Astyanax mexicanus: one gene and its partners. The main gene of each other region encodes a partner of the protein of the gene in region 2 in a complex. Links are inferred from orthologs where the notes say so. Each region holds a gene or a part of one and is shown on either strand. Other genes may lie near its edges. The genes, in order: lin52, lin54, mybl1 and lin9.

Region 1 (7,959 bases), on a different chromosome or scaffold from region 2:
CCAACAAACTCAGAAATCAAACACTAGATTAATGAAGTGTGGAAGACATTTCACTTTCCATTTTTTTTGTTTTTTGTTTACTTAAAAAAACAAAATATTTTTTTTTGTAAGAATCACAGTTTTTTGTCTACTTAACTTTAGATTTATAACTGAATGAAGAATTTTTTATGCTGAATTAGAAGCAAAACACCCCTGTCCCTTACTAGTGTGGAATAATGCACCTTATAGTGTAAAAATAGATGGATATTCATTAAGCCCTTGATATAATTAAATAGCTCCCGTCCAGTTCAAGGATTTTTTGGACTTTAAATATGAAAAACTACATTTTAGATGTTTTAAAACTTCACAGTTTTAATTCCAATTCAGTTCCAACAATTATTTATGTTTTTTTAATCAGTTGCGCCATCTAGAGGCGAAAATCAGCACTGGCATTAATAAGTATAATATTTAAGGTTCTGCAAAGTGAGAGTGATGATTGTGTTCTGGTTTTTAGTTTAAATTAGATACTAATCTACTTACACTCCTCCAGGCCCAGCTGATACGCCAAGTTCTGTAGTCCTTTAACTTTTTCCATCAGGTTAGCTGTGGTCAGACTCCCCAGTTCTGAGACAGAACAAAAAAAGTTTGCAGTAAAACACAGTTATTAACACAATTATAAAGAGACAAAAATAAGGTGCAGTTTTTAGTCAAAGCAAAATATGAATAAACCTAATATTATGCATTGATGCTATTAAATCAAAATGTACCTTTCAGCATTTCAATGTCTTCTGATTCCAGTTCTGCCATCCACTTGGGTGGAGAGTTTGTGATTGGCTGAAGAAACAAAAAGACATCAGACAACTATATGGCGCACTGAATTTTAAGGCGCATTTTATGCAACACTAGTAAGGAACAGGGGTGTCACCATGCTTTCCTTCTAAATTAAAAGGTCTCACCCCTTTTTACACAGATTCCTCTCTTAAAAACTGTTTATTTGGGTAGATTTCCACTAAGGCTGAGTGCAGCAGCATTAGCATTAGCAGCTAGTGCTAGCCAGGGTTAGCAGCAGGCTACAGTTTGTTAATACTCACCTCTAAGTGGTGAAAGAGCTAGTGCCTAGTGCTGCAGTTAGCGGCTAATGCTAATGCTATTCCAGTCTCAGTGCTGGAGAACTAAACTGAATCTCCTGTATAACTCTGTACTTCAGTGGAGTGTCTTTACTGCTCCTTAATACCTGACTGATAGAATTCATACATAAGGAACCCCGGATTATAAGGAGCTCTGATGATTTTGAGAAAAATTAAAGCATTTTAAGCGCACCTAATAGTGTGGAAAAATACTAACAAGTAATGTAGAGCGACAATACTCACGTTTTTAAAGGTGGCTGCAAATTCTGAAACCCCTGGCACTGTTTTCAAACAAACATTAAAGAAGTAAATATGACAATACTTTCTACAGACCAGAAACATATTCAATCTCAGCATATCTTTAAAAAATATATAAATAAAAAAAAATGACAAAACATTTGTCATAATTCAGCAACTTACACTGCTCTGGCCAAAGGTCAGGTGATGCTCGGTCAAGCTTTTCATAGCTCAGCAAAGAGGACTCAAAGTCCTCACCTATAAAAAAAAAAGGTGGAGAAAATTTAACTGTGAAACAAGAGGTGCACCATATATTCAGTAACTCAAATTATTACTAAATGCTGTGAAATGAATCAAAACCTGTAAAAAAAAAAAAAAAACATGTTGGTTTTCTACATTCATCCATATATTTCATTTTGTTGGTTCTGGCAACTTATTTTGTGTTATTGTAAATATCATAGTGAGATCATTTTCTCACTTCAAATCACTGTCTGATATTTTTCCAATTATCATACAAACTTTAATATCCGAAAAACATAACCTGAGTAAACATTAATAAAAAGCACCGGCAAGAGTGATTTAACCAAGTTATTACATTTAGGGTGAAATACTTTTTCACACAGGGCCTGATTAGTTTGGATAGTTTTTTTCCTATAAAATGCTCGTTTAAAAGAGCTTTTTATATTAACTCAGGTTATATTTGTCTGATATTAAAGTATATGGTTTAGACATGTTGACGCTTTTATATAATTTCTTTGATCCAGTAAGCTATAAATGACTGTAAATATAATCTACATTGATCTAGATAGCAAGAATCAGACTCAAGCGTGGAATGATTTCTGATCATCTGGACTAGAATCCAGAAACAAATAATTTATATTAATAAATTAACAATTAATATTAATTTATATAATTAATATGTTTTACTTTGTCTCTCCAAAGTCTGTCTCCAAAAGTGCCTAAACTCAACAGACTACATATTTACTGACTAAATATTAATACTCTTCACGTTTTAACAAGATCCAGACATTTAAATACCTTTTAAACATCATGGTCAGCTGTTTCTATAGTTTTTAGAGATGGAAGACATAATCGTTGACTAATCGACTAATCGAAAAAATAATAATCAGATTAGTCGACTACCAAAATAATCATTAGTTGCAGCCCTAGTACACATTATAAACATAACAAAAGAAAAATATGTATCCTGCGCCTGTTTCACTTCGTGTTTTTAAACACAGTAACGTGGAACAACAGTATTTAGTCGCTTATTTAGAAGAATAATTTACAGGTGAACCCGGTGTTTAGGGCTCCGTTAGAGCAGGGTAACGCTCGCTAACACACAGCCGGGCTGAGGGTCGCTGTCCCGGTGTAAAGGTGAAGGAGCGCTCGGTCGGTCTGTAGGTAAACAGTCCGTTAGCAGGACCTCCGCGCCGCGGAGCTCCGCTCACCGAGTACCGACCAGCACCTCACACACCCCGACCATCTCACACACACACCACCCCGCATTACAGCCCCGCAATAACCCCGCAAACTCATCCCCGCACAGGAATTAAATTTTACCTCCATTCGGAGACGCCATCTTCACAACCACACACGTGACCTCCTGTAGCCAATCGTTAGTGAGATGTGAAGCGACTGACGTGGGTCGTTCCGCCTCTTGTGACCTACAGACTTCCGGGAAATGTAGTCTCACATTTAAACACATATTTTAATCATTTAGATAAACAAAAATAAGTGTATAAATTTTTTTTCAGCTCATATATAATTTTGATTCGATTTGGAAATTGTTTTAAACAATTTTTGTTATTTAAATTTTCACTTACTTGTGTATTTTGATATTTAAGATCTTAAATTTTAGTTGCAGATTTTATTTTTGGATTTAGTTTTTTGTCCCTGATTTGGCTCCATAAGTGATCGGTATCTGTGTATAATGTGAACACAGAATCTGTTCCTGAATCGTCTCACATGCTGCACATTGATACCTGTATAAACGCCTTCTTCTTCACCAACAACAAAAACCCTCATATTAGAGAGACAAGAGACTCGTAGCTTTATAAAGGGTTATAGATGTAGAGTTTGCAGCTCATATGTGGAGCATCTTTTGCTGGAGTGGAGAGTAAACAGCTGCTCTGAAGTTCATGCTCAGGTCCAGGAAATGAAAAAAGGACAGGCGGTTTGCTTTTGCTTTGTGATTTGGAAAAATTGGATTTGGCATGTTCACACAGCCATACAACCATGATTTTTGTGACTTGCTAACTACAATATACCTTCCTAAAAGTCTGATGTGTTTCCACAATATAATCAGTACCAGCGAGAAATAGAACATGACAGAACATTCTTAAAAACACTTTAATTTTTTTTACACAGTAAAACCTCCCATTTCACATCAATCCAAAGATCACATCAATCCAACTAAAACAATACTGCTATTTGCTTCTTGCTTTCTAGAATCCATAACTAACACTTTAACACTTACAAGATTTATAATTTCAGTCAGAAAATGATAGTGAATTTTAACACTCTAATACTCCGTCTTACTCCATTTAATTCACTATTTAAACACTTCATTTAAAAGGCACTTTTTATTTTGATTGTTTACTTAAGTCAAAACAAAAAAATAATAATAAAAGTACCGCAAAATATGTAAATAATGATTATGTAGTGTTTCAGAACACTGATCACATTCTAATTTACCTTTATCTAATGTAATGTAATAAATGAAATGATGTGGACCACTAGTTATATTAACCAGGCCAATATGCAGTGTACTGAACAAAAAAAAAAAAACGAAAAAAGATTTAACACAATAAAACAAGCACAAAACACATAGTTTTGAGTAAAACTGGAGTTGAATACTTAAAGGGTGAAATGTAACACACTAAGTTTTAGCAGCTCAATAGTGAATAAACTAATAACTTCACAACAAACAAACAAACTAAACAAAACGATCCCCTGATATTTTTATTTCTTTTAAAATTCCCAGGAGTCCAGCCACCGGAGTCCGGCCATGGAGGAGGAGGGATCATGAGCTAACGGCCCCCTCATGCCATAGGAGAGAGGGTGGAACAGATAGAAGCTGCAAATAGAGGGAAAAAAAAACAAAGATTAATGGAAAAAAAAAGAACAGAAAAAAATAGACTAAATAATATACGAGTAACAGCCATTATAAAACTTTTTCGTATTTTTTGCACTTAAAATCCTTTAATTTTCCCAAAAATCATCAGAGCTGCTTATGTATGAATTCTAACAAAAAATACAGCATATTAACTTTTCAATTAAATGGCCCAGAATTATAAAATATATAACAATCTTTTATTAATGTAACTTAAAGATTTTTTAAGTTTAACACAAGTTAAAGGATTTATTTTGCCTTCACAGATATTTTGTAAGAACTGTGACGATCATAAAGCCTGCTGTCGCTCTCACCTGTAGAGGATGCCGACCAGGAGAACCGTCTGACCCCCTCTTAGAATATACTTTGAATACGGTGGTCTACATAGAAGGTCAACATTCTGTAGAAATGTGTCCAGTGTTATTCCTTTAAATAGAAGAAGAAAAAAAATCACAAATTTTGTTCACAAGTTTGTGTTTGGTATTAAAACATTTATGAATGGTACAGGGTTTTAAAATGCAGAACAACACAGAAGAATATTATCACATAAACCACTACTATTCTGTTTGGAGGAGTATGTCCTCAGTTTTCTGTACCTGTAAGCATACTGCTGAAGAGCACAGCAGGGAAGTAGTGGTGGTAGTAGAGAATACGGCCCATGCTGTAGAAGGGCAGGTAGTGAAGCAGCCAGGCCAGGAACAGCATCCCACCACCTTCTAAAATAACCCGGCAATGTGCTGCAAAAACACCAAACAAACAAACACAGTAAAAACCTTAAACTAAGCAAATTCACATATCACAACACTAAATACATTTTTTAAAACAGTTAACTATTTAAAACAAAAGTCAATTTAAATATTTATTTTTCTGCACTTTTAAAGATAAAAATGATTACATTTTATGCACAGAGCACAAAACCATTTACTTCCTAGCTGGATTCAGAATGAATAAAACGAGAGCAAATATGGCTTTGGAGGAATAGGTGTGTTTAAAAAACAAAAAGTAAGAACTCATTTAAAAATAGATGTATACCTGTTAAATAATATTTGGAATAATTGTGAAAAAGATTTAAGAATGTGTAGAACATTTCCAATTAAAAAAAGAATGTTTAAAGCACACATAAATATGAGGAATGAACTACTATTAATGATGAGAGGATCTAATATGTTGATTAACACTGAACCACTATGAAGAGTTAACCGCCTACCTTTTCTCTCTCCCTCTAATTTAGCTCCTCTCTGTAAGGCCAAAGAGCACACAGACACCATGACAACAAACAGCCCCAGACTGAACAGGTTCAGCCACCAGATCACCTGTAGTAGAGAGAGAGAGTCAGGTCAGGTTCAGGTCATCATGCAGATTTCTGCCGATTCACTTGCATTTAAATATCAGCCTTATTAAATGTGTTAAAGGTTTCACTCCACTAAAATCCTCTTGTTCTTGTTCTTTATGAAATACAGCAGGTCTCTCTGAGTTGTTTATAATGCTGCACATGATGAAACTCTTCCTCAACCTCTTCCTCATTGTCTGCAGCAGCTAGTAAAAGAAAATATTCCGAAAAATGAGTCGATCAGGAAAAGCACCGTGTCTACATCAACCTGTGAATTAGTATTCATGGCCCCGCCCACCTCGGCTCGGGACCGCCCACAGGCAGAGCTCAAGCCAGGCAGCAACGCCGTCTCGTCAGATAGGAGGAGCTAACAGCACTAGGAACAGCATGTAGTTCATTCCTGTGTTATTTGTGCGAATAACACATCAGTGTTTATATACTTTACCCAGTAATTCAGAGCTAAGAAACAAATGGTTAGAATTAGTCTATGGAGGAAAGACACCACCAGCCAAGTACAATTGAGATAAGTAGGTGTATATTTAGAATAGTTCTGTTTCCACTAGTTAAAAGTAAAAATATACCCCGGGTGGATTTTTACTTTCTGGACCTAAACTACCCACCTCTGTGTGTAAGTATCTATAGGTTTAAATAGGATCTCCGGTGGATTTGGTGTTTTACAGAGACTCTAAGACTAGGTCAGTGGCTGAACTGCACTTAGCAGGGCATTATTACACATGTTGTAAAGTAACATATGACATTGCAAAGACTGTTATTAGTGTAAAAAATCTCTTTATTTTAAAACATTTCTAACTTACAAGTATCTTGGTCATTAAAAACTGAAAAAATAAGGACATGGACAGAACTAGACTCACAGGGTTCCCCAGCAGATACACTCGGTACTCCGTCTCATTCACTCCAGAAAACCTTAAACCCTAAACACACAGTAACAAAGAATAAATTTTAGATTATTTCCACAATAAAAGTCAGTTGTTATATTCCTCTGAGGTGAACCTACCTGATAGTTGATGGGCCAGTGCCAAGGTTTAGAGTTCACCTCATTGTCCTTAGGTTTTAAGCCACTGTTACCCTGTTAGAAAAACAATAAAACTGCCTCAGCACACAAAACACTTTATTAAAACTTCATCAAATGTGACCGATAATTTTCTGGGCTCATCTTACCCTGATCATGACAATATGAGACTCCAGCAGAATCTCCAGGAAGGAAGGTTTGAGCACATGCAGACTGATGTTGGGCACTAGATAAAGAGAAAGAAAAGTATAATAAAGAATCAAAAAGAAATTGGATATGTTGGTTAAGTTGCAAGAACTTACAATTGGGGTTGATGTGATCCTCAATGTTCCACTGGGAATTGGGAGTTTCCTTTAAATATGGACTACAAGTGACCTCCACCTGCTCCCAGCCCCTTTAAAACATTACAAAGATAAAACATTTTTATTTTTTCAATGTTTGTGACCTTTCTGTCACAAACTCTTTAGTGTTTTCCTAAAATATCTGAACATAACTGCTATTCCTAATCCCAGACAGATGCTTCACAAAAGAATTTTTCAGTTTAGCAGATAAGTAAATCCAAATGTCAAATCTGTAAAGAGATGTTCCTACTGGACAGACCTTAAATTTGCACCATTATGTAGCAACTGTAGTTTAAAACAACTGTTTAGTGGTCAGATCTGCTGAATTAAAAGGAAAACATGGCGACATCCCTGTTTCTTACTAGTGTTGTATAATGTGCCTTATAATCCGGTGCACCTTTTAGTGCAGAAAATACAGTAATTCTTCTTTAAGCTGTAGTAATTCTAACTAAATGTTGTAAATCTGATCTTTTCCTCCTCAGCACCATTTTTAATGCACTCACCACTTTGGGAGGGTTTTTCCTGAGGAAAACAGCACACAGCCAGTGGAGCGATGCAGGAAGCGGACTTTACTGCGCAGGACCTTCACCGGATCACCTTTCTTCCCCCCACACACCTCCACCTGCCACAGGTCATTGAGGTCCCCTGTACCGTTCTGAAAGAGATTAAACATGCCAAGTGACTAATAATGAAGAAAATGTCCAGACCAATGTCTGAACCATGGTTAATGTATTAGTTATGCACTAAATAACTTACAGCTACATCCTGGCATCATCAGATATGTCGGTTATATCTCTCTA
Region 2 (7,988 bases):
GCAAGTAAACAAACTGAAATAGAAATAGTACAGATTCAAGAAGAACTGTTTTTTGGCCAAAAACTAGGTGCTTATTTGGCGAATGGTGCGCTATTAAAACAGACACCGTTTTTACTTAATAACTCTCTGCTTGTGTGGATTAGGAAATAAACCAGATTAACATTAACAGGGCTGTAAAGGGGGATGAGCTGTCAGGGCTGGCTAATATTTGTGTGGCTAGCTTACCTACCTAGCAGGGTTAGCTAACCTAACATTAGGTTATAGGTTTCAGTACATAAAACTGTAGGAGCCAACAGCCTCTGGCTAAAGAAACACGGACTGGTTTGCTGGTAAATTCCTGAAATTTGATCTTAAAACTAACGCTAACTTCCTAGCTAGTTAAATAATTAATTCTATAGCTTAACCAACCTGACGCTATATCTAAACGCAGTAACGTTAGGTTAGTTACCAGAGGCTTTGTTTTTCTAGCTGTTTTAAAGCTAAGGGTCTTAACATATATAAAATACGGTGCCTGTGAATGTTTAAAGTATTATTTAAAGGCTTATTTGGATGTAATCTTATGGTATATACGGTTTAGGTCTCTTTAATCAGCTCAGAACTAACAAAAAAATTACAGTTTGTGTCCTACCTCCTCTCTCTGTGAGTGTGAGTGCTGGTCAGAAAGGCGAGTCAGGCAGCTAGCGTTAATGTTTTTCAGCAGCGCTGCTCCTGTTTAAATGACATAAATCGCGACATTACTCTGCATTCTCTGAATAATCATTAGTCGATATAAAAGTACACATATCCAGGCTGAACAGGGCGAGGTGTGGTGATGAAGAGCCCTGCGGAAAGCGGGCAGCGGGGCTGTGTTTCTATTTCAGGCCCGGGTTGGATTTCGAAAGATCCGCCATTTTCAACTCGTCATCAGTTCATTTCCAGACGCGAGAAAAACAACAGCGGAGCGGCTTGGTGCGTTTTGGGTGGGATTTGGTTAGTTTTGGTGGGTTTTTAGTGGGATTATCGTGGAGGTAAAGAGTTTAAAAAGCATATTCAAACGTGCAAAAAATATATACATAAAAAAACAATTACAATAGTTTATTTGCTAGTATGCAGAGTAGGTGTGGTTAAAAAACGTTAAAACAAAAACGAAATATTGCGAAAATAGCAAAAATGTTCAGTTTATTTGCACTTTTTGTAGTTTAATAATCTATAAATAATCTGCACATTAGTATTCTTGTAGAGTTTTGTTGTTATATTACTTTATATTGTTTCATACACAATCTGGTTAAAGTCTGGGTAAGTTATTACAGACAAAAGTTTAGAGAGTTGTTTTTCTACATAATGTCTTTACATTTATAATAAGTAAAATATTTAAAAAATAATTTAACAAAAAAAAACAATGTTTGCTCATATCTGCAAGAATATCCTTACTGCAAAAATACCCTAAAGAATTGCAATGTTAAGAATCATAGGGCTGCAATGATTAGTCAATAAACTCGATAATGTTGATTTGACTACAAATGTTATTGTCGACTAATCGTTCATTTGCAACAGTGCCGTATTACACAAGTGCTGGGGACAGAAACGCAATGGGAGATGGATAAATGTCTCACTCAAACAGTTTATGCTCAACTCCAAAAGTGCCCAAACACAACAGATTACATACTTACTCACTAAGTGTCAGTATCTTTTTACATTTATACAACATTTAGACACGTAAATTCCTTTTAAATCTCATGATCAGCTGTTTTAATTGTTTTTAGAAGTGGAGGACATAGCAGAAATATTTGTTGACTAATTGAAAAAAATAATTCAGATTAGTTGAATACCATAATAATCATTCGTTGCAGACCTAAAAATTTGTGATGCACAGCATCGGTTCTGCTTAGCACTAGCTACAAAACTTATTATATTTTATCTTGATTAAAATAAGCTTGATTATTATTCAAACCATAATGCATGCTCTTATTGACACATATTTTGCCGCATGTTAGCATATTTTTAAATGCCAGGTGATTTCTTTAAAAACACCTAATGCCAGCTATTAATCTCAAAATACATTCCACCTTTCATCATTAATGCATTGAATCAATGTTATGGTTTGCAGTGAAGAAAAGTGTTGAAAAGCTCATCTGCTCAAATATTTTAAATCTTAAATTACCCCTTAAGCAATGATAAATAAATGTTATTTTAAGGTTGTTTTTTCATTGTCAACCTTAAAAGATGTAATGCAACTAAACTTGTAAGTTTATTCTGTTAAGCTACCAATACAATCAGTTTACAGCACAAATAAAAAAAATCTGATTCTTCTCAAGCTCTAACCTAGTAACATTATAGTTATTTTAATTAATTAGTTAATCAATCATAATAAAAGATCAATAAAAATAATTGCCTCGATTTCACACTATTAAGGGGTTAAAATGTTATATATTACATTAATTAAATGTAATATAGCCCTCCTGTTTCAGAAAAAACACATTAACTAGCTATAGCTAACTCACTAAATAGCTGCTGTCATTACTGTCAACTCAGCTAAGCTAAGCTAAGCTAGCTAAGCTACCAGAAAAAATGTCACAATTTCCTCCCTCAATTAGACTGTAAATTAACTGATATATACTTATATTATAATCGTATAGTCCTATAACATTAATCAGTGGTCTGCAGCTCTATTTTGAGCCACTTCTATTCAGGGTGTCAGCAGTTTTACAGCGAAGCCGCAGCTGAACAGAAAGTCCGCCCTGCTGAACCTAAACAGCGCATATCAGCTGTTAGCTCGGCGGCTAACCCGCTCCGATCCCCCCAAACCCGCAGCTCAGCACCGGGAATCTTACAGTTCTATTACGGTCGCTTCCTCGGGAATGTGGACGCTTGTCGCCGTGTTCGTGCACGGCCCAGTCCGGTCCGGTACAGCTGGGCCCCGCACCGCTTTTCTCTCGCTACGTTTCCCGAAACAGATCCGATTGTTTAAAATACCGCGCCGAGCGCCATTTCACCCCTAACATCCCATAATGAGGCTCCGCCTCCATGGGAACCCGCGTGTTACGTCTACAGGGAACGCCCGCGCGCAGGAGTTGGCTCCTTCTAGTGTCTCATCTTCCACGCTACTCCCTACGCCCTACTCCCTACAACTACCAACCATATTCTGCTCACTATTCACTACACCCTTTCTACTAACTACACAACACTTCTTCTACACTATTCCCTACTCCCATATACTGCTCACTATACACTACACCCTATCTACTAACTACACCAAATAACTACACAACACTTCTTCCAAACTACTCCCTACACCCATATACTACTCACTGTACACTACACCCTATCTACTAACTACACTAAATAACTACACAACACTTCTTCCGCACTACTTCCTACACCCATATCCTGCTTACTATACACTACACCCTATCTACTAACTACACAACACTACTTCCACACTACTCACTACACCCATTTCATTGCTTGCTTTACACTACACCTATAACTACTAACAATACCATATACATACATACATACATACTTTTTTACATTACTCCATGCACCCAGTGCCACATATACAACTGCTCCCTACACCCTAACTACTAACTACAGTATCTTCCAAACTACTCCCTACACCCATATACTGCTCACTATACACTACACCCTAACTACTAACTACACCATATACACAACATATCTTCCACACTACTCCCAACTCCCAGTGCCACATATACAACTGCTTACTACACCCTAACTTATAACTATGGCATATTCATAACCCATCTTCCACACTACTCCCTCCCTAAACCCTAACTAGTAACGACTCAGAGGACCAATCACAGCTGCTGCTGTCCGCATCGCACAGTGCACTGTTACACTTTTGGGTAGGGTCTGCATAGGGTATGGCATAGGTTTGCTACAGAAATATAAATTGGTCTTTAAGAATGTGAGGCCATCTGTACAGAAAACTACGTGAATCCTCACACAGCAGAAAGACTTCTGCATGGAGGAGTGGGAAAAACATTTCAAATTTCATTGTCAGGCAAATGGGGATATACCGCCTATTATTTGGGAGGTAAAATGAAATGTCAAAAAGCTATTTGCCATTTTAGTTAAGTTTTTTTTGGCCGGGTATGAAGTGGAATTAGTGCCAAACTGAAAAGCAAACACCAGTGTGAAAAATTGTAAAATGCAATCCAGATGTATAGGGGTCATACCTTTTTCCTCTGAAGACTTTTTTTTTATTTAGTTTATATGTTTAGTTATATTATAGGTAGTTATGAGTTATTTATGAATTTAGTATGAATGTGCATATTTGAAATTTCTGCTCCTTGTTATTAGTTTGGCAAATCTGTTGTATTGAGTTGATATGTAAGAACTAAAAAATCTAATCACTCATATATATTTGAAGAATATCGAAAATCGATTTTATTATTTTACCATATCGCCTAGTCCCTGCCACCATCGGGTAATTGATTGGAGGGCCTGGTGTTCTGTCGAGTTATGTTACCCATCGATATATGCTTCTTAAAGGTACTGCGCATGCGCTGACCTACTTTTTTACTTTTACTTTTTGATCTCGTGTTTTTTTTATATAAAAAATATATTATTTGTTTTCTTGGACTCACTGTCATTGCACAAAAGTGTGAATTAAAATTATTAATAATAATAAATACAATAATTATTTTTATTAAAAAAGCTTTCATTGCCATAACCTTAACATGATATAGTGATTTATGCTATCCAAATACATATACTAGCCAGCGACATCTACTGGGACTTCTACTGTGAACATGCTGTAATATGGTGCTTCTTTTGTATTTTTACAGTTAAATATACACGAGGGTAGCACGGTTTGACAAGATAGCACAACTCGACAGAACACCGGCCATTGGTGGTGCTGTACCCCGTGGAGAGTGCGCTGCCCTTCGGCCTGTCAGAAATCAGATCTCCGCGCTGCTGGTTGTTGTGTATTGGGGAAGATGGCGTCCGGTGTGCGGCAGGAGCTCGCCCAGCTGATGAACTCCAGCGGATCTCACAAAGACCTCGCTGGAAAGTACGGATTTCTACTGCGGCTTTTATTTATTATTCCCTTATGTGCAGATCCAGCCCAGCAGCTTTATTACAGCGGGTTTAATATAGCTAATATAGATCCAGGACGTGGCTAGAAGGTGCAGCTACATGCTAGCTAACTCGCTCATGCTAACTGTAACAGCTAACTGTAGGAGCCTGCTTATGCTTATGCTAATGCTAATCGAGGAGTTAACTAGCTAGCTACCATAGCTAAGCCGGTGAGCTTATTTTTTTTTAGAACTCCGACTTTTGTGAAAGCTAGCTTTTACAAAAAAACATATTATATAAGCTTTTAATAATCGTTATACTCGGACACTTTTTGTTTATTTTATTACAGTGTATCTGCACCTAGTTAACCACAGACCTATCTGCATGGTTGTTAGCTTGTTAGCATGCTAAGCTAAGTAGCTTTGTTGATTCTAATTCTGGCTAACGTGCAATATCTATATAGTCTATAAAGATTTTAATAAATTAATATTTGGTGCAATAACCTGTTTTTTAAATCACAGTTTTCATGCATCTTGGCATGTTCACCTCCACCAATCTTACACACTGCTTTTTGATTACTTAATGCCAGTCCTGGTGCATAAATGTGGCTTGTGATCATCCATGGATGGCTTGTGATCATTCATCTCTTGATTATATTCCAGAGGTTTTTAACTTGATAAAATCAAAGAAACTCATCATATTTAAGTGGTCTCTTGTTTTTCCCAGAGCTGTGTATATTCACTAAGTTAGTTATATAGTTAGATAGTTAGCTAGTTGCATAATTTGTATGCATCAACATTGATTCAGCATTGAAATGCCAGCTGGAAACCTCAAAGTAGCTCCGCACTTTATTGGTACAATTCTGACATTTAAAATGAGGCACTGAGAGCTTTAAAAGTGTACAGATAAACAACAGCTGATAAGCCAGTATATTGGTTTTCGGACTGCATTTTTAATGTATAATATGCATTTATTGTAGGTATCGTCAGATTCTGGATAAGGCAATACAGTTCACAGATGCAGAACAACTGGAGGCACTGAAAGCATTTGTTGAAGCCAGTAAGTATTCCAACACACATTTCATTAGAGAACACCTTGTAGCTTTAAATGGTCTTTTCACAGAAGAAGGACAAACATTCTCAGATTTAAAAAGAGTCATTTTGGAGCATTTCACTTGAAATGCAATAACACTAAACGGGAAAAAAGAGAAAAAAAAATAACAACGTGTGAAAGGGTCTGCAAACAACAGATCAAAGAGTCCAAAGGACAAAATATACTGATTAATGGTTTGGTCCATCTTCAGTGTGTAAACACTTCTAGATGGTTTCAAACGTTTGGACCAATTACTGGAAGCTGAGGCAGAACTGGTGTTGTGCTGAAATGCGTGTCATTGGCGTGCAGGCACGTCATGCAGACACATGGATGCAAACACTTTCGCTGGTGATTCCAGTATCTACTGTAACTGTAGATTAAGCTTTATTTATAAACAGAAATGAAAGCAATCCGAGGGGAATCTTTTATCTCTGCGATGGAGAGTTCAATTCTGGTAGAGAGGTAAACTTTGGCACAGCACCTGGAAAAGCAGTTCACAGAAGTAACAACATTCTACAAACTAATTAATGTGAAGTTTAGGGAGATTTACTACAAGTAGGTGATGATGACGGACCATACTTAAACTAACCGGACCATACGTATCTAATGTAACAAAAACGCAAACCTTGGTGTGGACTCTGCTCTGGATTTTCAGGTGTTAAACACCCTTAGCTGTTATTTAACCTCTGGTACACCAAGTTTATATATTTCTCGCTGTGAGATGTTTCTGTTGTCTTCTTCCTCTGCAGTGGTCAATGAAAATGTCAGTCTGGTGATATCCAGGCAGCTACTCACTGACTTTTGCACACACCTACCAAATTTACCCGACAGCACAGCTAAAGCTGTCTACCACTTTACACTGGAGAAGATTCAGCCAAGAGTTATCTCCTTTGAAGAGCAGGTGCGTTTGGACAATTATACAGTACTGTGCTCAAACATGCACACTCATGTTGTTTTCACCAATATTTATTATATAATGATTATACTTTGGTTAGCAAGAGTGCTACATTAAACCTTCCTATTTCTTTCAGGTGGCTTCAATCAGACAGCATCTAGCCACTATATATGAGAAAGAAGAGGACTGGAGAAATGCTGCACAGGTTTTAGTGGGTATACCTCTGGAGACAGGACAGAAGTAAGTCAGTCTACCTTACCTTTGAATTGATTTTTTTTTTATTCCCATGATCTGTGTGTCATTTGAAAAGCAAAACCTTAGAATTGAAGTGTTGATTAGTATAATATTGTTTAGGATAAATACAAATACATTTCTTTTTTTTACATAAAAAAATCTTACATTTACAAAAAAAATGTGTATATTAAAATAACTCCAAAGCTCTTCTCAAGATGAGAGTCTTGTATTATTTATAGACAATATCAACACATCTACACTTAGTTTGGTAAAACAGTTGAGCTACTCACAGAATTGAACACATCCACTGTGGTGCTGGTTGGGGGCATCCAGGAGAAATCTGGTAGAATCATTGTTCCTTAAAGTAGCCCACAAGATCTCTACTACTTTCTTCAAAATGAGAAATTCTTGTTACATTTTACTGAATTAAATTTTCTGTGAATCATTTAGTGGCAAGATGAACTTAAATATCGTAAAAATATAAGGGATTTCTTCTGATCACTGCTCCCATGTATTGTGCCTTGATAAAAACGTAGTCCAGTCTGAAATACTCAATATGTAAATGCAATAGTTTTATGGCATCAAGAAACCAACGAATTTAAGACAGTTCAAATACTATAGTTTGCACATAATGTGATGCTGCCTGAAAATAATAGTCTCCTGTGTGGTTGTTTTCAGACAGTATAATGTCGACTACAAGTTGGACACTTACCTGAAGATTGCCCGCCTTTATCTGGAGGATGAC
Region 3 (7,603 bases), on a different chromosome or scaffold from region 2:
CAAAGAAGACAATGTAATTGTCAAATTTGTATGTTCTCTACTTTTTATTGTCAATAAAGTACTGAATTATTACATTACTTTACTACTTTTTGGAAAACATTTAGTCTTTAAATAAACTTATAAAGTTTTAACATCAACAGCACACTTGAACTTGATTCCTTTTGAAAACAACATTCAAACCTAGTAACTGTGGAGAAACAGTTTCACCCCCGCCCCTCTTCAGGAGGCACACAGAAAGGGGCAAGGGTAGACACACACACACACACAGCAGTGCATTCATCCAGAAATTACGTAATAGCCAAACCTTAGTCTTTAGGCTCTTCAAACAAACCCTCCATCTCTCCCATTCAATAATTTCCATCACCTTCCTTGGACAACACCAGTCACCCTTTACGTCTTTTAATGTACTGTATATATACTACTGTATTACACTGTGTGTAATGAAGCTAGGCCTCAGCAGTTCGTTTTACATCCTATGAAATTAATTTTGAAAATAAGATGAAACATAATCTTTGATTTTGCACCATTTTACATATGAGAACATATTCTTACTACATTAATTTTACTTTCTCAAGACATGTGTTTTGATGAAACTTTTTTGAAGCAGCTCTTTGAAGTACAAAAACAAGTGCATGATGTACAACCAAAGCTAGCGAACCAGAAATAAAGTATCTACACTTCTTTAAAAACATTAATATAGGGGTTGGCCACATGCTGCATTTTTAACATAATATTGTGGTGCATCACCATGCCAGTTTTTGAGCACATTATACATGTCAGCAACGGAATGTTTTATTATAAAGATAGCATACCTAAAAATGAAAAATGTAATAATACAAATAAATGTTTTATACTAAAAAGCATCACAGCTCATCCAACTGGCTGGAGTGTAGCCACTATGAACCACTGATATAATCTAAAAAAATGTACTTTAGTAAGAAACCTAGACTATTTTTGTGTGGAACCTAATATTAGCTAAAGTAAGATGTGCTCTAGTAAGAAACCTACAATGTTTTTTGTGGAATCTTCTAGCAGCTACAGTAAGAAGTGCTTAATAAGAAACCTACAATGTTTTTTTGTGGGTAATCTTCTGGCAGCTATAGTAGGAAGTATTTTAGTAAGAAACCTATACTGTTTTTTGTGGAATTTTCTAGCAGCTATAGTAAGAAGTGCTTTAGTAAGAAACCTGCAATAAAAGCTACAGTTTAGTAATAAACTGCAAATATAAACTAAGGAAGTAACTGAATGACAGATCAGTGACAGCTCAGCACTACACAAGCACACAGCCAGAGAGCTAGCGTTAGCTAAGCTAACCTAGCTATTTAGCTTAGCTAGATAGTTAGCCAACATTAGCAATTAACAGGTAGGTTAGGTTAGCAAAGGTTATACAGCCCCTGTGTGTAATGATGTAGCTTATCACACTGTTAGGGACATGGTTTCACAGCCCTGGATTAAATAATGACTATCTTAGCTTTAGCTTGTTAGCACTGGCTAGCTAGCATTATCCAAAGTGTGGCTAGCTAGCTTAGCAACTAGTGTCAAGGAAACGTCAGGCTGCTTTGTGTTTATTAGTGTTAGCCATATTATGATTATCTAGCTGTAAAAGCTGATTATCTAGCTTTTATTGTAAGATCAGAATTTAAAAAGTTGTTAAACTAGGTTTAACTAGTGTTAAACTAGATACTAGTTAGGTTAGCTTCTGCATGTAATACTGTATTAACCCATTAACAGGCCAGGATTTGTGTAATTACATTTTCTGCTTGACATTACACCACTAAATCTTGAGGAGTTCTATACAAGCATTACATAAAAAAGGTTTCATGTTTGATAAAGAACTTTACTAAAAAGCACAAATGTAATTGTAATAGAAAATATTGACAAATATTTAAATATATCTGCTAATGTCAAAATATAACAAATAAAATCATAAAATTAGCTATTTCCTGAACTTCATTCTAAAATCATTATTTTCCTGAACACAAATCAAACATTTCATGTTCTCCAAACCTTTAGTTTTGTTATGTTTTTCTAGTTTTACGTCTATTTTTAATCATGCAGAATTTGGGTTGATTTTGTTATTGATCTGGGATTATTAAGTGGAATAGAGAGTGAACAGGCAGCTTCTCAAAGTGTCCTGTAGGAGATTTCAAATAAGTTATTTTACTTCAGAAAAAAATGTGTTTTATATAATCTACACCTGTAGCCTGTAGACAGGACAAGGCATGTTAAAGAGTTAACTAACTAGCTAGCTTGACCCTAATGTGAACAGTGTTAGGGCATAGCAAAATTAGCTTCTATGTAAGTTAGCTACAGATCCAGTCAAGGTTATTGTATTCTAGTGGGTTCAGGTCTAATGAGAGTTGGAAAGATAAAGAAGAGTAATTCTACATCATGACACAAAACACAGAGAGTAAGAAGTCTGATCATCATAGCTACAGTCTGAGTAGTTAGTTAGTTAGCTGAGTATCTGAGAGTGTCTCTCACCTGCGGGACTTAATGTTGGCCATGTCAGATCCGGTGCTCTCTGTAAGTGACAGGGTCGCTTCTTATCGAAAGTAAAACGAGTCACAGGAATAATCCACAGCTGCAGTCACGCCTAAAATCCAAACACACCAGGATCGACCTCACTGACATTTATCCGGCCGCTCGCCGCTTGTCAGACAACTGTGTATCTTCTGTCCTCCTGCATTAAACTCGCTGTAGCAGCTTTAGTCAGATTATAATGTTCAGTCCTCCAGTCCTGTTTCAGAAAAACCGCGCAAAACAGAACAACACAATAATACACAGCTCCCTACACCCGCTGTTATAATCACCGCGCTCAGGCTATAGTTATAATCCTGTACAGAGGTGAACGGGCAATGGACGGGTATCTACTGAGAAACATTATAACCTAGCTAGCTATCTCTCTGCCCCTGTGTGTGTTTTGCCCGCCTTGTCTCCAGAAGCTCGCCCTCCTCCTCCTCTTTCTCGCTCCTCTCTCTGCTGATTTGTGTGTCCCGCCGAATCGCGCGCTCCTCCTCCTGCTGCTGCTCAGTTTGAATCTGCGCACGCGGCCTCGCAGCTGATTGGTCAGAAGCCGCGCCGAGTCAGTGGCGCCTCCACGCTCCGCGCGCAACAACACATTTACCGTCAGTGTGTCGTACATTCCCTGTCAGCTTAACACACACTCACCACTCACTAATCACCCACTCAGCACCACGTTATAATTTTAAGTGTAGTAATATTTTCATTTCTTATGCATCCACCATGAATTAATACATTTACCATAATTTTACCACATGTTCATTATCAATTTATAATTTCTTCTAATTTCTCATGCACTTAAAATCAATATACCACATATTCACTAACAACACATTAACATTTTAACATTTCTTATGCACTTAGCATCAATATACCACATATTTACTATTAAGTATCAACTTACCACACCATAATTTACCACAATTTTCACTCTCAGCTATCAACTAACCGCACATTTTAACATTTCTTATGCACTTAGCATCAATGTACCACATATTCACTATCAACTAACCACACATTAACAGTTTAGCATTTCTTATGCACTTAGCATCAATATACCCCATATTAGCTATCAACTTACCACACAACAACATTTTAGCATTTTTTTTGCATTTAGCATCAATATACCTCATCTTTACTATCATCTTACCAACATTAACATTTTAACATTTGTTGTGCATTTAGCATCAATATACCACATATTTACTATCAACTATCAACGTACCACACCACAGTTATTCAATATCAACCATTAACTTACCGCACATTTTAACATTTCTCATGCACGTAGCATCAATATAACACATATTTACTATCAACTGACCACATAGTAACAGTTTAACATTTCTTATGCACTCATCCGCAAGATACCACATATTCACTATCAAGTCACCACATTTTAGTTATTATTCACTGTTAATCAGTTTATAATAAATAAACTTTCCAACCATCAACTTTACAGAAATTCACAATTAGTTTATCGTACATGTTCATATAGAAATTGTACTTTCTGATATGTTCAGTTCAGAAAATAGTACTGTAAGAGTAATTAAAAGCATTAAAATGAATGAATTCACCATATGAACATGTCTATCCTATATTATATGTCAATCCTAATTGTATGCAGATCTGAGCTGTGTGAAGTGGTGGAGGATATTTTTCTCGTGATGTTTTGTCGCCCTCGTGTGGACAGTACAGGACTACTGCTTCAGAAAAAGCACACCCAGTGGTTACACTAGTTTGTGTAAAAACCGGTTTGTATAAAATACACAGTAAAATTGTCATAACAAACAGCACTGTGCACGACTGTGTTTTGCACACTTAATGTGTTTAGGAAACAAATTTATTGTCAATATTCATGGAATATTTATGGAATTCGTGAAAGAGGTGGCATATCTTCCTAGAAATTCCCTCATGTCACAATTAGATCAGTACATGGACAAAAGTGTCCTTTCCATCGTGTCAAAATGTTATAATTACTTTAACAATAAGTAATTCAAAATTATTTTTAACGAATCATTTTAAACAAATGTTTCTCACTTTTGGAGATACTCCAACATGCTCATATGGGGCTCACATGTCCTAGGTGGTTCTCAGGTGGTCATGGGCTCTAAGTGGGTTTTTGTACATGTGTTTTATTGGAACCCAGTTGGAACCCGTCCTCACAGCACACGTTAATCTCACATGGCCTCTATGTACAGAGAGTACAACCCAGATGTGGCCCATGTTTAACCTCTCTGGACCCATCGCTGACCTTGATGGGGCCCACCATTGACATTTATATGTGGGGTCAACATAGAACCCATGGACAAAGCTTTCTGGTTCCCAGTTGGACTACTCATACAGGCCCCACATGGGCATGTTATATGTATGAGTTTTTTGCTTGACAATGGAAGTGTCATATTTACATCAAAAATACATAAAAAACTTCTGTGATCTTGTACATGGTTTTGGTATGTATGTTTAATAGTATGTAATATTAAATTCTGTATTCTGTAAGTGTACAGTGTATGGGTGGTCTGTGTACACTCATACAGCGCACACTATATATACTACACAGTATACATTCCATTATTTTTTTTGCCTTATTGTTGAAAAGTTAAATTGTCATTTACAAATATAGAAGAAAGCAAAAGCAAAAATCAAAACCAGATAAATATTATGGCAGAGGGTCATAACAATTCTATTTGTTAGAAAAGATTTTAAATAAATATTTGTTTACAATTTCTACTATTTATGACAGACCACACAGAATGTTTCTTTACTCAGCCAGTTGTATTTGAAAATCATCGTACTGGGAAAATCTAATTTACTCAAATCCTAAGCCATGGCATCGATTCCTAACTTTTTTTTTATTTATGATTCTTTAGTGCATATAAAACAAATCAGAAAAGCTAAAAATACATAAATACGTCTTCTGTTAAAGAACTGTATCAAACTATATTGATAATTTCAGTGTGTGACTTGTATACCAGCTATATGTTTATGTGTATAAGTTTATATATGTGTTTAACTTTGTCATCTTTTCAGTAATGAATGTCTTAATGTCCATTACAGCTGGGCGATATGGTGTTAAAATAATATTTAATAATATTTTATGGTATTTTCGTGATAACAATACTGTTGGCGATATGACAAAACACTGAATTTGAATGAAAAAAAATATTTAAAGAATACACCACTGCAACAAAATTAAAATAAATTATATTATTGCAAACGATATGATATGGCACACCCCTAACTGAAAAAAAATACGAGAATTTTATCAGATTTTAACAGAATTCAATGATCCAGAATATCATGATATTAATAATGCACTCCAAATATCTTCATATATCCAGGATTAAAGTAAAATGAATGATAATCTGTCTCTAGTAGATATAATGGGAAATGGGAAAACAGTATGATATAATGTGGTATAATATCTTCCATAATATACAAATATGTTGGTGATATTATTGCGTACGATGCGATATGGCACACCTTTAATTTCTATGTATTTTATTTATTTTTTAGTTTAATTTGTGTACTGTTACTTTATTTAAAAAAAATGCATTTAAAACAATACAACCACTCCCTGTACATTCACTGTTAAATATAAATAAATGATAAATAAATAAATCATTATTTAAAAATAATAATAGTTAAAGTTAGAGTCGGAGGAGGTGAGGTGTAGCGGAGTAAAGTTAGTTTGATATTCGATATTCAGCGGAGATTCGCCTTTCGGCCGTTCTCTTGCTCGCAGGCAATGTCCTAAACTCTCCCAAATTACATTTTCCAAACCACAGAAGAACAGAGAACAAACTACAAACGTCAGATTTTCTGAAAACACCCAACCTTTCTGTTTCTCCGAGAATATTTACTGAAAATGGCAGGAATCGCTGCAGCGGGCGCTGAAGCTGTTAAGGGACCGTCTGCAAAGTACGGACCCTGATTAAAAACGTAAACATTCACAGCTCCGTTTAATGCATTTCTACTGTAACACGCCCATATGAAATATAGATAAAAAAATCATACGTAGTCTTTAGAGACACACCTGAAAAATAACTACAACTTTTATTTTTGAAAAATATGATTTGGTTGATTTTATATTAATTTTTTAATAATAAAAATTGCTACTGTACTGCACTAATATGAAATATAGAAATAAAATCACTTGTAGTCTTTAGAGACACACCTGATAAACATACTACAACTTTTAGTTTTGAAAAATATGTCTCGGTTGATTTTATATTAATTTTGTAATAATAAAAATTGCTACTGTACTGTACTAACATGAAATATAGAAATAAAATCACTTTTAGTCTTCAGAGACACACCTGATAAACATACTACAACTTTTAGTTTTGAAAAATATGATTTGGTTGATTTTTTATACATTTTTTAATAATAAAAATTGCTACTGTACTGTACTAATATGAAATATAGAAATAAAATCACTTTTAGTCTTCAGAGACACACCTGATAAACATACTACAACCTTTAGTTTTGAAAAATATGATTTGGTTGATTTTTTATACATTTTTTAATAATAAAAATTGCTACTGTACTGTACTAATATGAAATATAGAAATAAAATCACTTTTAGTCTTCAGAGACACACCTGATAAACATACTACAACTTTTATTTTTGAAAAATATGACTCGGTTGATTTTATATTAATTTTTTAATAATACAAAAATTGCTACTGTACTGTACTAATATGAAATATAGAAATAAAATCACTTGTAGTCCTCAGAGACACACCTGATAAACATACTACAACTTTTAATTTAAAAAAATATGATTTGGTTGATTTTCTTTAAATTTTTTAATAATAAAAATTGCTACTGTACTGTACTAATATGAAATATAGAAATAAAATCACTTGTAGTCTTTAGAGACACACCTGATAAACATACTACAACTTTTAGTTTTGAAAAATATGACTCGGTTGATTTTATATTATTTTTTTAATAATAAAAATTGCTACTGTACTGTACTAATATGAAATATAGAAATGAAATCACTTGTAGTCTTTAGAGACACACCTGATAAACATACTACAACTTTTAGTTTTGAAAAATATGACTCGGTTGA
Region 4 (7,786 bases), on a different chromosome or scaffold from region 2:
ACAAATATGGGTATTTAAATATATCCAGAACAAACAAAACAAGACAACAAAACTGAGACATGCATACCAAACCACAAATATGCACACATTAATCTATATAATTTATCAACCACATAAATATAACCAAAGACTATGTTCATGTTAAATCTCAAATCAATTTGTTTTTCTTTAAACTCAGATCAGATTTGGCCAACTTGACGATTAATATCTATATATGTAAGTGGAACATGCCTGTAATGTAAACAATCTTTCCCTGAATCAGCATGCATGCACGCACATCAGCTCCACATACAAGAAACAGGACTCATTATGGTACGTCTGCCTGGTCATCTAAGTGTACCTTAAATAATCAGGCAAATAAAACTTAGTCTATTTCTATTTAAACAAGCAACCGGACAAGCCACTTACCGTTTCCATAGACGTGTAGCTGCTCCTTCCCCTGGTGTTCTGAGATTTTGGTAGGTTGTTTTTCTCATTTAAAGTGTTTGACAAACTTCCTTCTACAAAGACATATAACCGCAAAGAGGAATGTGCAGTTAACTGAATAACAGTAATCACATATTTAATATAATTACTTTATTTGCATTTGCATATGTATGCAGCTGCTTAGAAATATTAAACCTTTAAGTGCAATTACCTTTAAGACTGACAAGAGCTTTCGCTGAAGAGCCTGTAAATAAAATAGGGGGAAAAAAAAGAAATTCTCTAAACAGGAAAAATAAACAGTGATCTGTAGAACAAGATTTTAAAATCTGATACATGTTTACAGCTAAACATATAAACACTAGAACGGGCAATTAAATTTAGCACCTGATATTAAGGTGCTATATCATTTTTGAATCATGTTTGGAACTCAAGGTTTTGGCAAACTGACTAGATAAATTAGCACCTAATACCTGATGAACTTCAGGGGATGGGTTTACTGTTTTAAATCCCTTAGACGCAAAAATATTTCTGGAATAAAATGTTACCATTAATTGGGAAGAAATAAAATAAAATGCCATAATTTCTGCATAGCACATTTCATAATTATGATAAACTGGAGTTATGCATTAAACAAAACAAACAAAAAAAAGACAATTAGAACTTGGAAACCTTCATTTTTGCATATAGCTTTACCTACTATGTTCAGCAAAGATATTAAATATATGTTCGCAGCATGTTAAATTATTAGATTCTGTTTTTGTCTTCTTTTTTTTAAGTGATCTATAATTACAATTACAATATTATTGGGCATCTCAGTTTTTACTTTTTACTTGTCGGTTTTACTTGTCATTTGAAGTAAATCCTCTTACTCTGAGACATAAATATAATCTAATAGGATTACATAGTAAAAATGTAAATATTGGCTAGCATTATTATTATTAGCACTATTGTTATTAATTTCTTATTACTACTACTACCCTCTTAACAGGTCTAATAAGCTAGCTGGTCAGACCTGTAGGCTGGGTGTTGTAGCTACAGCGCTGCTGTAAAGTAAATGGACCCTTTATGAGGAGGACAGGCGGCTGTGTGTGTTTGTAAGGTGTGCCAGCTGCTCCTCTAACAACCTGTAGTAAGAAATAAACCTATACTGTGACTAATAACGGCTCGCACAGTTTGATTTCGAGCTGATTTTAGCACAGCCAAGACTTCCAGCACACAGTAACGTTAGCTAACATTATAAAAACAGAGAGACACAGAGTAGCTACACTGATACTCCAGAGCTAACAGCCCAGAAAACAACCGGGGGTGTTCCGTCGAGATGCGCTACTCATCGAAACATGCTTCTTAAATACACTACGCATGCGCTGACCTAATGGAAATTAATAATACATAATAATACTTGTTATTTAAATATATGTATATTTCTCCTGTTTTTTTTTATTATAAATCTGTTTTTTTCTGTGCATTTAACAACCTGGACTCACCTTCATTGTACAAAAGTGTAAATGGAAATTAATAATACATATAATAGATCTTATTAGAAAATAAAAATTCGTGTTTCATTATAAATCTGTTTGGAGTTTTTGTGCATTAAACAACCTGGACTAACTTTCATTGCACAATAGTGTAAATGGAAATGAATAATACATACAATAATTATTATTAAAGAAAATACATATACAAAAGCAGATTTTAAAAGACCTCTCATTGCCATAATGTTACCATGATACAGTAATTTATGCTATCCAAATATACTAACTAGCTACAGCTACTGAAAAAAATGCTCTAATATGGTGCTTCTTTTGTATTGTTGGAGTTAAATAGAGTAGCACGATTTGACAAGGTAGCACAATTTGCCATAACACCGGCCACAGCTAACGTAACTAACAAACTAAAGCGTAACCTACAGACGAGACCCTACAGCAGTGTAGGTGAAAAACAGCGCTTTATAAAGAGCTTTAGTGAGAGAACAAGGAATCTAAGAGCAGTTAGGAGCACCATTATCTCTGTTTATCTGTATTCAGCTGAGAGTGACCCCCTGATAAAGAGCTTTAGCTACACAGCCGAGCAGCAGCAGCTGTCACCGACCTGCGGAGATCAGAGAGACACACAGAGCCCCTCAGACACCGGGATCAACTCACACAGCCCCCCGGCTCTCAAACACACAAACACCCAGCCCCGCTCCCAGCTCCTCCCAGCCCCGAGCAGCCGCTCCGCTCACCGGGAGAGTCCTAATCACTCTGTTTACCGGCGGGTCGGAGAGAAAGTACAGCTGAACTGCTTTATTTATAGCTCTGAGCCGGGGCTAGCCCGGCTAGCAGCTAGCACCTAGCAGTTAGCATCGCTGCTAACTAGCACTGAGGTGAAGTTACTACAGCTCAGAGACCCGGCGCCTTCACAGCCCGACACAGACCTCAACAAGCCCCCAACCGCTTATAATCACAAACCGCCCGCAAGATAGTCTGAAACGCGGTCTGTAGACCACAGCAGAGCCCGGGTTTACTACTCACTCTCGTCCAGCAGCTGCTCCAGCTCCGCCATCTTGAAGGAGCCGCGCCGCTTTTCAAAGCCCGAATGACGCGAAGCATTCTGGGACAGAGACTCAGGAGAGGGCCGTTCAAACCCCCTTACAGACTGTAATATTATTATAATATACAGCCTACAGTTCAAACCCCCTTACAGACTGTAATATTATTATAATATACAGCCTACAGTTCAAACCCCCTTACAGACTGTAATATTATTATAATATACAGCCTACAGTTCAAACCCCCTTACAGACTGTAATATTATTATAATATACAGCCTACAGTTCAAACCCCCTTACAGACTGTAATATTATTATAATATACAGCCTACAGTTCAAACCCCCTTACAGACTGTAATATTATTATAATATACAGCCTACAGTTCAAACCCCCTTACAGACTGTAATATTATTATAATATACAGCCTACAGTTCAAACCCCCTTACAGACTGTAATATTATTATAATATACAGCCTACAGTTCAAACCCCCTTACAGACTGTAATATTATTATAATATACAGCCTACAGTTCAAACCCCCTTACAGACTGTAATATTATTATATACAGCCTACAGTTCAAACCCCCTTACAGACTGTAATATTATTATAATATACAGCCTACAGTTCAAACCCCCTTACAGACTGTAATATTATTATAATATACAGCCTACAGTTCAAACCCCCTTACAGACTGTAATATTATTATAATATACAGCCTACAGTTCAAACCCCCTTACAGACTGTAATATTATTATATACAGCCTACAGTTCAAACCCCCTTACAGACTGTAATATTATTATATACAGCCTACAGTTCAAACCCCCTTACAGACTGTAATATTATTATAATATACAGCCTACAGTTCAAACCCCCTTACAGACTGTAATATTATTATAATATACAGCCTACAGTTCAAACCCCCTTACAGACTGTAATATTATTATTATATACAGCCTACAGTTCAAACCCCCTTACAGACTGTAATATTATTATATACAGCCTACAGTTCAAACCCCCTTACAGACTGTAATATTATTATAATATACAGCCTACAGTTCAAACCCCCTTACAGACTGTAATATTATTATAATATACAGCCTACAGTTCAAACCCCCTTACAGACTGTAATATTATTATAATATACAGCCTACAGCTCAAACCCCCTTACAGACTGTAATATTATTATAATATACAGCCTACAGTTCAAACCCCCTTACAGACTGTAATATTATTATAATATACAGCCTACAGTTCAAACCCCCTTACAGACTGTAATATTATTATATACAGCCTACAGTTCAAACCCCCTTACAGACTGTAATATTATTATAATATACAGCCTACAGTTCAAACCCCCTTACAGACTGTATTATTATAATATACAGCCTACAGTTCAAACCCCCTTACAGACTGTAATATTATTATAATATACAGCCTACAGTTCAAACCCCCTTACAGACTGTAATATTATTATAATATACAGCCTACAGTTCAAACCCCCTTACAGACTGTAATATTATTATAATATACAGCCTACAGTTCAAACCCCCTTACAGACTGTATTATTATTATTATATACAGCCTACAGTTCAAACCCCCTTACAGACTGTAATATTATTATATACAGCCTACAGTTCAAACCCCCTTACAGACTGTAATATTATTATAATATACAGCCTACAGTTCAAACCCCCTTACAGACTGTAATATTATTATTATATACAGCCTACAGTTCAAACCCCCTTACAGACTGTATTATTATTATTATATACAGCCTACAGTTCAAACCCCCTTACAGACTGTAATATTATTATATACAGCCTACAGTTCAAACCCCCTTACAGACTGTAATATTATTATATACAGCCTACAGTTCAACCCCCCTTACAGACTGTAATATTATTATATACAGCCTACAGTTCAAACCCCCTTACAGACTGTAATATTATTATATACAGCCTACAGTTCAAACCCCCTTACAGACTGTAATATTATTATAATATACAGCCTACAGTTCAAACCCCCTTACAGACTGTAATATTATTATAATATACAGCCTACAGTTCAAACCCCCTTACAGACTGTAATATTATTATTATATACAGCCTACAGTTCAAACCCCCTTACAGACTGTATTATTATTATTATTATATACAGCCTACAGTTCAAACCCCCTTACAGACTGTAATATTATTATATACAGCCTACAGTTCAAACCCCCTTACAGACTGTAATATTATTATAATATACAGCCTACAGTTAAAACCCCCTTACAGACTGTAATATTATTATTATATACAGCCTACAGTTCAACCCCCCTTACAGACTGTAATATTATTATAATATACAGCCTACAGTTCAAACCCCCTTACAGACTGTAATATTATTATAATATACAGCCTACAGTTCAAACCCCCTTACAGACTGTAATATTATTATTATATACAGCCTACAGTTCAAACCCCCTTACAGACTGTAATATTATTATAATATACAGCCTACAGTTCAAACCCCCTTACAGACTGTATTATTATTATTATATACAGCCTACAGTTCAAACCCCCTTACAGACTGTAATATTATTATTATATACAGCCTACAGTTCAAACCCCCTTACAGACTGTAATATTATTATAATATACAGCCTACAGTTCAAACCCCCTTACAGACTGTAATATTATTATAATATACAGCCTACAGTTCAAACCCCCTTACAGACTGTAATATTATTATAATATACAGCCTACAGTTCAAACCCCCTTACAGACTGTATTATTATTATTATATACAGCCTACAGTTCAAACCCCCTTACAGACTGTATTATTATTATTATATACAGCCTACAGTTCAACCCCCCTTACAGACTGTAATATTATTATAATATACAGCCTACAGTTCAAACCTCCTTACAGGCTGTAATATTATTATTATTATATACAGCCTACAGTTCAAACCCCCTTACAGACTGTAATATTATTATAATATACAGCCTACAGTTCAAACCCCCTTACAGACTGTAATATTATTATAATATACAGCCTACAGTTCAAACCCCCTTACAGACTGTAATATTATTATAATATACAGCCTACAGTTCAAACCCCCTTACAGACTGTAATATTATTATAATATACAGCCTACAGTTCAAACCCCCTTACAGACTGTAATATTATTATAATATACAGCCTACAGTTCAAACCCCCTTACAGACTGTAATATTATTATAATATACAGCCTACAGTTCAAACCCCCTTACAGACTGTAATATTATTATAATATACAGCCTACAGTTCAAACCCCCTTACAGACTGTATTATTATTATTATATACAGCCTACAGTTCAAACCCCCTTACAGACTGTATTATTATTATTATATACAGCCTACAGTTCAACCCCCCTTACAGACTGTAATATTATTATAATATACAGCCTACAGTTCAAACCCCCTTACAGACTGTAATATTATTATATACAGCCTACAGTTCAAACCCCCTTACAGACTGTAATATTATTATAATATACAGCCTACAGTTCAAACCCCCTTACAGACTGTATTATTATTATTATATACAGCCTACAGTTCAAACCCCCTTACAGACTGTATTATTATTATTATATACAGCCTACAGTTCAACCCCCCTTACAGACTGTAATATTATTATAATATACAGCCTACAGTTCAAACCTCCTTACAGGCTGTAATATTATTATTATTATATACAGCCTACAGTTCAAACCCCCTTACAGACTGTAATATTATTATAATATACAGCCTACAGTTCAAACCCCCTTACAGACTGTAATATTATTATAATATACAGCCTACAGTTCAACCCCCCTTACAGACTGTAATATTATTATAATATACAGCCTACAGTTCAAACCCCCTTACAGACTGTAATATTATTATAATATACAGCCTACAGCTCAACCCCCCTTACAGTATTATTATTATTATATACAGTCTACAGTTCAACCCCCCTTACAGACTGTAATATTATTATAATATACAGCCTACAGTTCAAACCCCCTTACAGACTGTAATATTATTATAATATACAGCCTACATTTCAACCCCCCTTACAGACTGTATTATTATTATAATATACAGCCTACAGTTCAAACCCCCTTACAGACTGTAATATTATTATAATATACAGCCTACAGTTCAACCCCCCTTACAGACTGTAATATTATTATAATATACAGCCTACAGTTCAACCCCCCTTACAGACTGTAATATTATTATAATATACAGCCTACAGTTCAAACCCCCTTACAGACTGTAATATTATTATAATATACAGCCTACAGCTCAACCCCCCTTACAGTATTATTATTATTATATACAGTCTACAGTTCAACCCCCCTTACAGACTGTAATATTATTATAATATACAGCCTACAGTTCAAACCCCCTTACAGACTGTAATATTATTATAATATACAGCCTACAGTTCAACCCCCCTTACAGACTGTATTATTATTATAATATACAGCCTACAGTTCAACCCCCCTTACAGACTGTATTATTATTATTATTATTATATACAGCCTACAGTTCAACCCCCCTTACAGACTGTAATATTATTATATACAGCCTACAGTTCAAACCCCCTTACAGACTGTAATATTATTATATACAGTCTACAGTTCAACCCAGTTCAATCAGAATACTACCTTAGCTTAATCTCCAACTCCACAAACCCCCAGAACTTCTGGAAAAATGTAAATTCCCTTAAAAAGAACTCCAATCCCTTTCGTACCAGGGCTTTAGTGGATGATCAGCTGATCTCAGATCAGAAGGAACTCTGTCAGGTTTTTAACTC

Evidence for each region.
Region 1: lin54 (region 2) and lin52 share a complex: the UniProt entries of both Homo sapiens proteins name them as parts of the DREAM complex. The link is inferred for Astyanax mexicanus from reciprocal best matches to the Homo sapiens genes LIN54 and LIN52.
Region 3: lin54 (region 2) and mybl1 share a complex: the UniProt entries of both Homo sapiens proteins name them as parts of the DREAM complex. The link is inferred for Astyanax mexicanus from reciprocal best matches to the Homo sapiens genes LIN54 and MYBL1.
Region 4: lin54 (region 2) and lin9 share a complex: the UniProt entries of both Homo sapiens proteins name them as parts of the DREAM complex. The link is inferred for Astyanax mexicanus from reciprocal best matches to the Homo sapiens genes LIN54 and LIN9.

What each region holds. Positions count from the first base shown.
Region 1 is NC_064421.1:48,536,463-48,544,421, reverse strand, and holds the start of lin52 (protein lin-52 homolog), read right to left. Parts: upstream 3,001-7,959; 5' UTR 2,926-3,000; coding exon 2,907-2,925; intron 1,602-2,906; coding exon 1,527-1,601; intron 1,388-1,526; coding exon 1,350-1,387; intron 814-1,349; coding exon 747-813; intron 604-746; coding exon 520-603; intron 1-519. Other genes in the region: pomt2 (protein O-mannosyl-transferase 2), read right to left, coding at 4,317-4,422, 4,773-4,884, 5,055-5,195, 5,666-5,771, 5,878-5,994, 6,661-6,720, 6,804-6,875, 6,968-7,044 and 2 more.
Region 2 is NC_064427.1:22,631,347-22,639,334, forward strand, and holds the start of lin54 (protein lin-54 homolog), read right to left. Parts: upstream 3,002-7,988; 5' UTR 2,811-3,001; intron 898-2,810; exon of another isoform or gene 629-897; intron 1-628. Other genes in the region: cops4 (COP9 signalosome complex subunit 4), read left to right, coding at 4,944-5,017, 6,002-6,081, 6,864-7,015, 7,146-7,249, 7,922-7,988. UniProt on the Homo sapiens protein: Component of the DREAM complex, a multiprotein complex that can both act as a transcription activator or repressor depending on the context. In G0 phase, the complex binds to more than 800 promoters and is required for repression of E2F target genes.
Region 3 is NC_064408.1:97,493,631-97,501,233, forward strand, and holds the start of mybl1 (myb-related protein A), read right to left. Parts: upstream 3,011-7,603; 5' UTR 2,508-3,010; coding exon 2,485-2,507; intron 430-2,484; exon of another isoform or gene 305-429; intron 1-304. UniProt on the Homo sapiens protein: Transcription factor that specifically recognizes the sequence 5'-YAAC[GT]G-3'.
Region 4 is NC_064408.1:79,656,642-79,664,427, forward strand, and holds the start of lin9 (protein lin-9 homolog), read right to left. Parts: upstream 3,013-7,786; 5' UTR 2,968-3,012; coding exon 2,937-2,967; intron 671-2,936; coding exon 638-670; intron 501-637; coding exon 409-500; intron 1-408. UniProt on the Homo sapiens protein: Acts as a tumor suppressor. Inhibits DNA synthesis. Its ability to inhibit oncogenic transformation is mediated through its association with RB1. Plays a role in the expression of genes required for the G1/S transition.